Pelodiscus sinensis: one gene and its partners. The protein of the gene in region 3 purifies or fractionates together with the protein of the main gene of each other region. This does not show direct contact. Links are inferred from orthologs where the notes say so. Each region holds a gene or a part of one and is shown on either strand. Other genes may lie near its edges.

Evidence for each region.
Region 1: the proteins of CTNNB1 (region 3) and HDAC7 purify together in Homo sapiens (affinity purification with western blotting; 5 studies listed by BioGRID, with this or other methods). This does not show direct contact. The link is inferred for Pelodiscus sinensis from reciprocal best matches to the Homo sapiens genes CTNNB1 and HDAC7.
Region 2: the proteins of CTNNB1 (region 3) and GSK3A purify together in Homo sapiens (affinity purification with mass spectrometry; 3 studies listed by BioGRID and IntAct, with this or other methods). This does not show direct contact. The link is inferred for Pelodiscus sinensis from reciprocal best matches to the Homo sapiens genes CTNNB1 and GSK3A.

Annotation. Positions count from the first base shown.
Region 1 is NC_134729.1:7,944,303-7,948,044, reverse strand, and holds the start of HDAC7 (histone deacetylase 7), read left to right. Parts: upstream 1-1,412; 5' UTR 1,413-1,800; coding exon 1,801-1,924; intron 1,925-3,742. UniProt on the Homo sapiens protein: Responsible for the deacetylation of lysine residues on the N-terminal part of the core histones (H2A, H2B, H3 and H4).
Region 2 is NW_027465888.1:163,511-167,252, reverse strand, and holds the start of GSK3A (glycogen synthase kinase-3 alpha), read left to right. Parts: upstream 1-1,313; 5' UTR 1,314-1,328; coding exon 1,329-1,530; intron 1,531-3,742. UniProt on the Homo sapiens protein: Constitutively active protein kinase that acts as a negative regulator in the hormonal control of glucose homeostasis, Wnt signaling and regulation of transcription factors and microtubules, by phosphorylating and inactivating glycogen synthase (GYS1 or GYS2), CTNNB1/beta-catenin, APC and AXIN1.
Region 3 is NC_134712.1:177,511,055-177,514,796, forward strand, and holds the start of CTNNB1 (catenin beta-1), read right to left. Parts: upstream 2,803-3,742; 5' UTR 2,770-2,802; intron 1-2,769. UniProt on the Homo sapiens protein: Key downstream component of the canonical Wnt signaling pathway.

The DNA of each region.
Region 1 (3,742 bases), on a different chromosome or scaffold from region 3:
GGAATACACAACAGTGCCTTCTGATAGTCCTACCCAGATCTCTCCAGCTCCTGGAACTGGTGCTGTGGGAGGAGCTGGGGCTGGTATCTCAGTGGCCCACTCTTTGCAGTGTCTGGAAAATAGATTACTAATCTCCCAGTTTTCTCTCTGGCTGTATTAATTCAGTCCTGTGGTCCCAAGAATTCACAAACTGTGCATTGCCCCCCCCCCTCCACTTCATGATTAGATGAAAAATAAACCTCAAGTTATTTTATTTGCCTTCTAGAGGTTGAATCTTTCAGGTGTCATGTTTTCAAATTTCCCTAAGCAGTCAAAAAGACAGATAGTTACTTCATACTGGCCCGAAGCAGCAGGGCAGAGAAGTCAGATAATCACCCCACTCCAGAAGTTGAGGCTTTTAGAAAACACCAGATATCGTGAGACTTGCCAGTCCTGGGAAGCACATCTGACTGCTCAGAGCTGAATCCTGACTTGCCATTGCTATTCTGTTGTTGGAGTCCCGCTGGCACTGTGGGAGCATAGGTGGTATATTATATGGGCCTGTGATGCCATGCTCCACCAATATTCAGGAATTTGAGCCTGTCTCTACCAATGTCTGGTATTATATTTTCAAAGTTCATTGGATGGACCGGGACAAACATTTCAGGCCCTGCATTTTGGGGGATGTGGGATCCAGGACAGCCTAGGAGATTAGCAGAGGGCCTGGCAACAGAAGCAGTGAACCCCTGTTCCCCCTCTTCCTGACTCTTGCCCCAAGCCCTACTTTGCCTCTTTTTGGTTTCTGTCCCTTCTTCCTAGCAAAGCTGGTGCGGAGGGAGCTGGTGCGGAGTGAGGTTGCTCACTGCTGCCAGCACCAGGCCTCTGTTATCCCCCCAGGCTACCCTGGACCCTGTGTCCCCCTGAAGTGCCCCCCCAAATCACGGGGCTCAGGGCGGTTGCCCTGGCCTGTCCTATGGACAGAACAGCGCTGCTTGGACCTGTTCTGGGCACAACCCCAAATTATACAAGCCTGGCATCCACGTTGGGAGGGGGGCATATGGGCGCCCCCTAAATGACACTCCAGGGCGGCTGCCGCTGGAGGAGGGCCAGCCTCGTCGAGTGACTCCAGATGTATCTGGCCCCGCAGATCCTCGGAGGATGTTGCACCACCAGAGCCTACCTTGTACAACGTGGGTGCGGACAGAGAGGCTCTTTCAGGAGGGCGAGGGCAGAGCCCCGGGAGCCGGAGCGAGCCCGGAGCCCCGGCCCAGCAGGTGCTGGGAGCGAATCCAGCGGGCTCCCACCTGCCCGGCGGGGCTCTGGGCTCGCTCTGCGGATGGAGCTAGAGCTCCAACAGCGAACTTTCCTGGCTCGCTCGCCATTGGCTGCGGCCCGGCCAATCGCGAGCCTCCTTCGCAAACAATGCAACTTTTTTTTCCTCCTCCCTGCCCTCTCGGAGCCCGGCTTCTGCGCTCGGGCTATTTTGGGGCGAGCCCCACCCCGAGCTATTTCTGCGCCTGGCCCGGGCTGGGGCGAGGCCGCCGCAGGTGGATCGGCCGCGGGAAGCCCGGCGCGGAGCGCACGGGGATGGGCGGTGTTCGCTTTCTCGCTGGTCCCTGAGAGCTGCCGCGGGGCTGAGATCATGGCACCCAGGGAAGCCCCTTCGCCCTGCCCCTCCTCCAGCTGAAGGAGCCTCCGGCAGGAAGCAGCTGCCTGGATGCGAGAGTTGCCGAGCCCGGCGCTGAGCGCCCGCTGCCTGGGCTGTGATGGCTGAGATGCCCCGCTGACCCTCCCCGGCCCGGGGCTCCGGCAGCAGGCTCCATGCCAGGGCTACATCCGATGCTCAACACCATTTACGAGTCGGATTCTGTTTTCTCCCCAGATGGAATTAAAGGCGGAGAAGCGAGTGTGAGCGTGGCCCAAGGGAGCGGCTCCTCCAGCCAAAGTAAGTGACACTCCCCCCCCCCCCCGCCGTCCCCGGGTGCAGAGCCAGGGCACCTCGCGCGGCGCTCACAGAGCAGAGCAGGGAGGCTGCGCTTGGGATGCAGAGAAAAGGGAAATGAGAAAGGAGATTGAGCTATTTTTGTATCTCCCCACATGACTAGGCCCTGCCACATGCAATGGACTTAGTCAACCAGCCCCTGGGATTTCCTCCTCTTTCCCCCTGGCTGGAGAGGAGGCCTTTAACCACTGAGAGGTGGGATTCCCTGGGTCCCATGTTCAGAGAGGGGGCAGCTCCTGGAAAAGGGGCAGGCTTTCTTTTCCCAAGAGCAGTCTTCCTGGCTGGGTATGGCAGGCAGGGCTGTTGGTGTAAGGGAGAGCCCAAGGCCTAGACCAACAGAAGGCCGTAGACTAGGGGAGATGTGTCCTCTGCCTTGCTTGCACAGAGCGGGAGTTCTCCAAGCCAGGACATCAGGGAGGCCCAGGCACCAAGTCTCTGCAAAGCAGAACATTGGGGTGGTAATTCGAGAAATCCAATCCAAGGCAGACAGGATGTTTCACCCATCTGGAAACTAAGAAGCAGGCTTTCTGGAGGTTTGTTGCTTTGCTTATGCTCTTGGAAGCCTGAACACCATGTGTCTGGCTCAGGTGAAGTCAGTCAGGAGTTGGGACTGTATCTGATGCAGGATGCCACAGAAACATCCAGTCTCATCCTGTATGATGCAAGTAGGAGTTTGTGTCTGGGGTCTTTTTTTTTTTTTTTTTTTTTTGTGGTGGACAGTGTGCAATGAGTGTTATGTCCACTGCCTGGTTCTGTAGTAGGCTGTTGTGGTGCCATCTTGGTGTCAGATGGGCTGGGGATTGTGCGTTTGATGGCATCTCTGCCATGAACAAGGAGGGTGCATTTTTAACCCTAGCTGGATGCTGCATTGGACATAGATGTAAGGGAATGTCCAGATTAAGGAGTATCCAACTGAGCCCAGTGCATCTCTGGCACCTTAATGGATGTCCTAGAGAGTGAATAATTCCCAGGCGTGTCTATGCAGGACTGTCAGGAAAATTAAGGCCAATTAAGCTTGAATCCTTGAATGAATGTTCTAAAAGATCTGGTCCTGTAATTATTGTGGGAAACTTCTGTGGCCAGTGTTATACAGGAGGTCAGACTAGAGGTCAAAACGGGCCCTTCTGCCTTTGGAATCCGTGATGTTAATGTGAATCAACCCCTGGCAAATGCTGCAGTGAACAAAGGCCGCTTCTGAATGAGACCATCCACACAGGAGTTTTAACGAGCATTAACGTCATAGCTTCATTTTAACTGTACCGAGTGTCCCCATGTAGCCAAGCCCCACACTTCAGTTCACTAACTACACAAATATTGCAAACCCAAGGATGCGCAAGCTCCTCGCCCCCAAATCGAGTACCTTAAAATCATGAAAAATAATAAACTTGGGTCTCTTTATTTGACTTCTGGGTTTGTTTTTTTAAGTCTTCAGGAATTGTATTGTCAAGTGTTTTTACAACACCTAGGAGGGGTGGAAACTTACACTTTCTTTTTAACATGAAAACTGAGAACTCATAATTGTTTGACTGCCGGAGCTGGATGGAGCTTTAAGGAAAAACATGAGCTATCATGTGACTCATGATAAAATTGCAAGAGTTGGCAACTGTGCCCTTCTTGGATGCTTTGGCTGAGATTCTTCTGTGACATTTTGTATAGAAAGGGACAGGCGCAGCTTACAGTACCTCAGAGCCCCCACAAATGGCTATTTGTAGCCATATTTGAGTCTTGTTGTACCAGGCTGTGTCTGTATGGGTGTCTGGA
Region 2 (3,742 bases), on a different chromosome or scaffold from region 3:
GTAGCTTCCTTTGCTGCCCCCCAGCTCAGACTGCACCTCTCACCCACAGCCCTCTATGTGGCTTAGCCTGGCCCTGCCCCCGACTGCGCTGTGCCCAGGGCGGGGTCACACCTAGCACCCCCCCCCCCGTGCCCTGGGCAGGGTCACACCTAGAACCCCCCCGTGCCCCGGGCAGGGTCACATGTAGCAGCCCCCCCCCGTGCCCCAGGGCAGGGTCACACCTAGAACCCCCCCCCGGTGCCCCGGGCAGGGTCACACGGAGCAGCCCCCCCCTGTGCCCCAGGGCAGGGGCACACCTAGAAACCCCCCCAGTGCCCCGGGCAGGGTCACACGTAGCAGCCCCCCCGTGCCCCGGGCAGGGTCACACCTAGAACCCCCCCGGGGCAGGGGCACACCTAGAACCCCCCTTGGTGCCCCAGGGCAGAGTCACACCTAGAACCCCCCTGGGCAGGGTCACACCTAGAACCCCCCCTCGGTGCCCCAGGGCAGAGTCACACCTAGAACCCCCCTGGGCAGGGTCACACCTAAAACCCCCCCGAGCCCCAGGGCAGGGTCACACCTAGAACCCCCCTGGGCAGGGTCACACCTAGAACCCCCCTCGGTGCCCCAGGGCAGGTCACACCTAGAACCCCCCCCCCCGAGCCCCAGGGCAGGGTCACACCTAGAACCCCCCCTCGGTGCCCCAGGGCAGGTCACACCTAGAACCCCCCCTCGGTGCCCCAGGGCAGGTCACACCTAGAACCCCCCCGAGCCCCAGGGCAGGTCACACCTAGAACCCCCCGAGCCCCAGGGCAGGTCACACCTAGAACCCCCCGTGCCCCAGGGCAGGGAGCGGCTCCCCATGGCCCCTGGGGGGGTTGCCAGGCTTGGAGCCCAGGACGCTCCCGGACCCCCGCTCCCCCCGCGGGGCAGAAGCTTTTGGTCTTTTCCCCGCCTGCTGGGCTCGTGCCCTGGGGGGTGCGGGGGGGGGGATCTCCGGGCCCTGCTGCCCCCGCCCGGGAGCGGGGGGAGGGGTGGAAGCGCTGGGGCACCACGTGGGGGGGGCTGGAAACCGCAGCGTCCCCCTGGGGGCGGGGCCCTGCGCTCCAACAGGGGGCAGGAACCTGGAGCTTTTGACCTCAGGGCGGGGGTTCAGGAAACTACATTTCCCGGCGGCCCGCGCGCTGGAAGGGGGCGGGGCCCGGACTCCGTTTCCCGGCGACCCGCGCGGTGGAAGGGGGCGTGGCCCGGACTCGGTTTCCGGGCGGCTCGCGCGGCCGGCAGGGGGCGGGGCTAGGCGGCGCATGCGCAGGCCGGCAGCCCCCGCCCCCCCCCCGTCCGGCCTCGCCATGAGCAGCGGCAGCGCCGGCCCCTCCCGGCCCCGGACCAGCTCGTTCGCCGACACCGCCTCGGGCGGGGCCCCCCCCGGCCCCGGAGCCCCCGCCCCGCCCGGGGCCCCCCCGGGGACAGCGCCGGGCGGCAAGGCGGGGGCGGCGGGGCCCGGGCCGGGGGGGGGCGGCGGGGCCTTCCCGCCGGGCCTGAAACTCGGCCGTGAGTGGGGGGGGCAGCGGGGGGGCCGGGCTGCGGGGGGGCCGGGGGGTCCCACGAGTGCAGCGCTGGGAGTCGAGGGCCCCGGGCGCTGTGGGGCGGGAGGCCGGAAGGGCTGGGGGGGGGGCGAGTGGCCCCGAGGGGAAGGTTTGGGGGGGGGGTGATTCCCGGGGGGGCTGAGCTGGGGGGGGGGCGGAACAGGGCGGTCAATGTTCCCTATAATTTTGTGATCCATGTGTGGAATAAATGCTGCTCTGCGCACCGAGGCCTGTGCGGATGGGCACCACCCTTAGAAACACAAACCCAGCTTTGGGCGCTTTGCTAAGCAGCTGGGAGGCTGCCCAAGTGCCCAGCTCCCAGGGAGCTCGGGGGGCAGAAGGGGCATCCATTGGAGGGCGGTTTGGGATTCCTGGGTGCATTGGGCTGGAAGAGTCGTTGGGGGTCTAGGGAGCCACTGTTTGGGGAAAGGGGGCTCTGGGGAGCTGGGGTGAAGCTAATGAAGGGCTGAGGTCAGGCTCTGCTCTTGGGTCACATTAGGAGCCAGGAGGCTGGTGAGTGGCTCTCTCATTAGATATGGACAGTACGTGTTGGGGTTCAGGGGCTTGGCTGAGCCCCCCGTCTGGACACCCCATCTCTCTGCGGGGGGGTACCTGGGGTGAGGATTGAGGCTTCTCCATAGGCATTGCAGAGGCCCCCTGGGGACTAGTTGAGCAGGAGGCGCCTGGGGTGGTCACTGCCTGCTGAGGACTGTCTGGAGCAGGAGAAGTGGTGGTGCTATGGGGAGGCTGTTGGGGTCAGTGTCTTTCGGACGGAGGGGAGATGTAGGGGTTGGGGCTGAGTGGTGTGGGCAGTGGAGAGAGGCCAGTGGCAGATGTGCCCTGGGGCTGGTGGGGGGTGGGGCATTCTGGCTCTCTAACCTGGACCCTGGGAAGATGGGATCATGGGGGAGAGGGGACCCTGGCTGAGTTTCTGCCCCCCCAGTCTCCAAGGTCAGGATTGTGGGCTTCCCTGGCCATGCCTCTAACTGCCCCCTCGACTCCAAGGGACAGCAGGAAGGGAGGTGGGGGTTGGGGGCATCTCTCCTGTGTTTCTAGCTCCTCCCTTGCCCATCCCTAGCCGGAAGGGCAGGGTGGGGGTAGGGGTGTCCCTGGCTGTATCTCCAACCCGCTCCCAGTCCCCAGGGGGCAGCAGGAGGGGCCGGGGTGGGTGTCCCTGGCTGTATCTCTAACCCGCTCCCCGTCCCCAGGGGGCAGCAGGAGGGGCTGGGGTGGGTGTCCCTGGCTGTATCTCTAACCCGCTCCCCGTCCCCAGGGGGCAGCAGGAGGGGCCGGGGTGGGTGTCCCTGGCTGTATCTCTAACCCGCTCCCAGTCCCCAGGGGGCAGCAGGAGGGGCTGGGGTGGGTGTCCCTGGCTGTATCTCTAACCTGCTCCCCGTCCCCAGGGGGCAGCAGGAGGGGCTGGGGTGGGTGTCCCTGGCTGTATCTCTAACCCGCTCCCCGTCCCCAGGGGGCAGCAGGAGGGGCCGGGGTGGGTGTCCCTGGCTGTATCTCTAACCCGCTCCCAGTCCCCAGGGGGCAGCAGGAGGGGCTGGGGTGGGTGTCCCTGGCTGTATCTCTAACCTGCTCCCAGTCCCCAGGGGGCAGCAGGAGGGGCTGGGGTGGGTGTCCCTGGCTGTATCTCTAACCCGCTCCCAGTCCCCAGGGGGCAGAGGAGGGGCTGGGGTGGGTGTCCCTGGCTGTATCTCTAACCTGCTCCCAGTCCCCAGGGGGCAGCAGGAGGGGCTGGGGTGGGTGTCCCTGGCTGTATCTCTAACCCGCTCCCAGTCCCCAGGGGGCAGCAGGAGGGGCTGGGGTGGGTGTCCCTGGCTGTATCTCTAACCTGCTCCCCGTCCCCAGGGGGCAGCAGGAGGGGCTGGGGTGGGTGTCCCTGGCTGTATCTCTAACCCGCTCCCCGTCCCCAGGGGGCAGCAGGAGGGGCTGGGGTGGGTGTCCCTGGCTGTATCTCTAACCCGCTCCCCGTCCCCAGGGGGCAGCAGGAGGGGCTGGGGTGGGTGTCCCTGGCTGTATCTCTAACCTGCTCCCAGTCCCCAGGGGGCAGCAGGAGGGGCTGGGGTGGGTGTCCCTGGCTGTATCTCTAACCCGCTCCCCGTCCCCAGGGGGCAGCAGGAGGGGCTGGGGTGGGTGTCCCTGGCTGTATCTCTAACCCACTCCCCGTC
Region 3 (3,742 bases):
CTCCCTGAGGGAGAGTCAGATTTTTGGTCACTTCAGGGGAAACAAGTACTATTGCTAAGCCAATGAGAAATACACAAAATATTTACTATAATAACTACAGATTTCAAAATTCCCTTTTATCATTTGAATGCTATTCCTATCCACTTCTAAATCAGATTAACAGCACTATTTGTTACAATGGCTGTTTAACCACTGTTCCCTTTTTGAGTGCATTAATTTTATAGCCAGTGTATCTCCAGAGACAAAAGAAAACTGAAGAGAAAGTTAACACTGCATGAATCACTCAAGAAAGCAGGTCAACTGGTTTTGAACCTCTCCCACATGGAAGTTGATATAATGAAGGGGAAGAGGGAGAAGTAGAATGTGTAGCAGGCACTGGAAATACTTTGCAGGTTTTTATAAAGCTGTGAATTACTGTAATACTGCTATTCTTCAATGTGGCACATTTATAAGATCTGATCTATTCAGTTAACACTATTCTAAGAAGTGGATGACAGTATCCAGTCAGATCAGCATATCAAGAAAATCTCACAAGTTTAAAAGGAGGACTTTGCCTCACCCACTCTTTATGATGACAGTTTTCCTTGATAAACCTGCTCTAGCCCAGGGCAGCAGGCACTTAATTTGTAAAACTAAGTTACCTTACAAATGACAGCAACTAACACACAGAAGTAACAAATGCTAGCTACCCAGCCACAGTTACACAACCCTATTTTTTAAACCCTGAATTAGAACCGCATAACCAGATGAAAGTCTTGAGTTCTGTAGAGACACTTCCAAAAAAAAAAAAAAAAAAATCTTGCTTACATGCCTTAAAAGTAGAAATAGCTCAAGTCAAAAAGCTTAGGACACTTGAGGCAATAGGAAATAGTTGAAGCCACTCTGAGTTGGCTACAAGATGTAGATTCTACTGAAGTCATGAAGCACAAGTTGTGCAGTAAATTAACATTAACTGTTGTGTCAGAGCAACCTCTATAGCCAGCCTACAAGTCTCTTCAGTTCTACATTTTTGAAGACTGTTTGTATTAAAAAATGGCAGTCAAACACTAGGCTCCTCAAATCAAAGTATACATTTAACAGTATATTAATGCAATTTATAGAATGGTGAAATTTCAGGGTGTTCAGCTCTTAAAGCTGATTTGGGTATCTAAAATTTTATTTTTCAACAGCGCCAAGCATCCAGCATCTGCCATTGATGCCAATGGGATCCACAGACTAGTGTCTTTAGATAAAGATTTTAACTGCCTAAGACAAGTGTGTTAAATTTGTAGGCATTCAACACATTACTAGTTAACTAACAGAATCTAAGGTGGGTAACTTGGCCAAATAGGACTTCACATGCCAGCCCAAAGGAGATAAATCCTAATACAGAATACAAGCAACTTTAAGATCAGAGGAAGCGGTCCTGTTCATTCGGGACAGTTTCTAATCTGAGCCTACTATACTCTCAGAGTCCCCATTTTACTGAAACCCCTCCTTGACTTCCTTCCACCGACCTCAGCATACCAGCCCAGCCTCTTTCCAGTCACCACTTGCATACTTGGGGGAGGGGAGGACCACAGATGTCTGGAAGATAGGAAGCACGGGAACAAGAGACGACCCACACAGAAGAGATCAAGAAAATACAGCCAGCGTTTACAACTGATTCAGTGTTGCTATCCCCCCCCAAAAAAATCTCCCTACGCAGTTAGCATTGCATAGAAGGGCTTTTCCTCCAAAAATCGTACGGAAAGCCACCTTTTCACTTAAAAAAAAAAAAAAAGAGTAGAGACACTACCAGTGGTTTTTTTTTAGTGTATCAAGTTTCTTTTAAGGAAAGAGCCAAGAAACAAAATTAAGATTTCTGATTTGTTTTAAGGCATCGCTGTCCCAAGAATGGCCAGTGTTTTTAATAAATCGTTAAGACTTCAGTTTGGGCAAAAAGCCCGAAACTATGAACGTAAAAGATGCCTGAACTTTTATTTTTAAGTTTTACATAAGCCGGGGGGGGGGGGGGGGAAGAGGAGAGAAGAAGAGTGCAAGTCTGGTCGCCTCCCCTCAGAAGGATCAGCTCTCTCCCACAACACGCTGCATATTCGGAAATGGCCTAATCCAAAGCCAGCAAGTTCCCCTCCCCCGGTAGGAAAGCCTCAAGACACCTCGCTCTTTCTTTAGAGAGACTCCAGCTAGTTGGGTTGTTTTAAACTCGCTCGGGCTACACCCCGCTCCGCAGCAGCCACTACTCAAAACACCCCACAGCGGCAGGGACACCACCAGGCGCCTCTCCCGCAAGCACAACACGCAGCGGAGACAAAAGCCCAGAGCGCAACAGATAACAGCGGCCGCAGTCCAGCAGCACGTTCGTTAGACTTACACCGTCCAAACAAACCCGAACCCGCTTCCCTCCCCCACAGCCGCCCGCTCCCGGAGCCGCGCCGGAACGCCCGCCACAGAGCGCGGAGCCCCCGGGACCGGCCTCCCACCCCAGCGCCCGGCTGCAAACAACGCGCCTCCCGCCACCCCGGCCAGCGGTCCGGCAGCCTCCCGCGAGGCGCCTCAGCTGCCGCCCCGGCCACTCAAGTGTCCGGACCGCCCCGAGCCAGTGCCCCGTGTCCGAGTGACCCCCCCCCCTCCCACGCTCCGGCCAGGCCCAGCGCGGGCCTCCCGCCCGGGCAACCCCCCCCCCCCAGCCTCCCACCCCCGCACAGCCCGGAGCGAGGCTCCCGCACGCCCGGCTCCCCCGCCGGGCTAAGGGAGGGAAGCGGGAAATGAGCAGAAAGCGCCACTGACACCGCGGGGAGGCAAGAGCGCAAGGTCCCGCAGCCCTGGTCTCCGGCCGCCGCCGCCTCCGGTCGGTCGCCGCCGGACACTCCCCTGCCGCTGCCGCCGAACCAAGCGAGAGGCTTAAAATGGCGTCGCTCGCAAGGAGGTTCTTATAGGGCGCGCGAGGCGAGGCTGTATCCTGCCGCCGCTGCCGGGCTCGGCGCGCAGCATTCCACAGGCACCCAAGCGCCCGGGCAGGGGGAGGAGAAATAGTGCCCGGCTCCCTGGGCGGAGGGAGACAAAGGGCAGCTGTGCGCCACCCGCCGAAGGTAGCTCGCCCCTGCGGAGGGCGCTGGGGGGAGGCGGGCGGAGTTGCACAAGGGGGAGGGGGTGGGGAGTCTGGGAACACAGGCGGGAGCGGGGGCGCTGTGGAGAACAAGGCAGGATGGGAGCAGTGATCCAGCCGAGAGGGAGGTGTGATGAGGCCAGGATGGGGAGGGGCGGCGGAGACACCTTCTTCGGGAGGTTGGGACGAGGCTGGTTCCTTCCTGCCTGGGAGAGAAGTTGCTGCTGGGGGAACAGCACCAGCGTGTTGTTCTTAAAGGGGCAGTAACCACTTGGCAAGGGATCAGCTGCTGGTTCCTCTCAACCCCTCCCCCCCCAACGAATTAGGAGTTACGGACCGGGCTGAGGGATTTTTACACTCCCCTAGCTATCGAAAGTGGCGTCGTGTTTCCCCCAAGGCTTGCTGCGGAGCGCAGAGCTAATAGCAAGCCCTCTGCGCCTTTGCGTTTCCCGCACCGCTGATTAAACTTTCTGATTTGCAACAGGGAACAAAAAATGATCGTTTCCGAAAGCGGCTTGCAAAACACAACAACGACGGCCCCTCCCCGTCCCGCTCACACTGTGCCCGGCTGGAGGCACACGGTGCCCTGCTTTCCGCCGCTCCTTGAAAAAAAAAAAAAGTGGCAGTGAGTCTGGGGAAGGTGGTTATGACTGA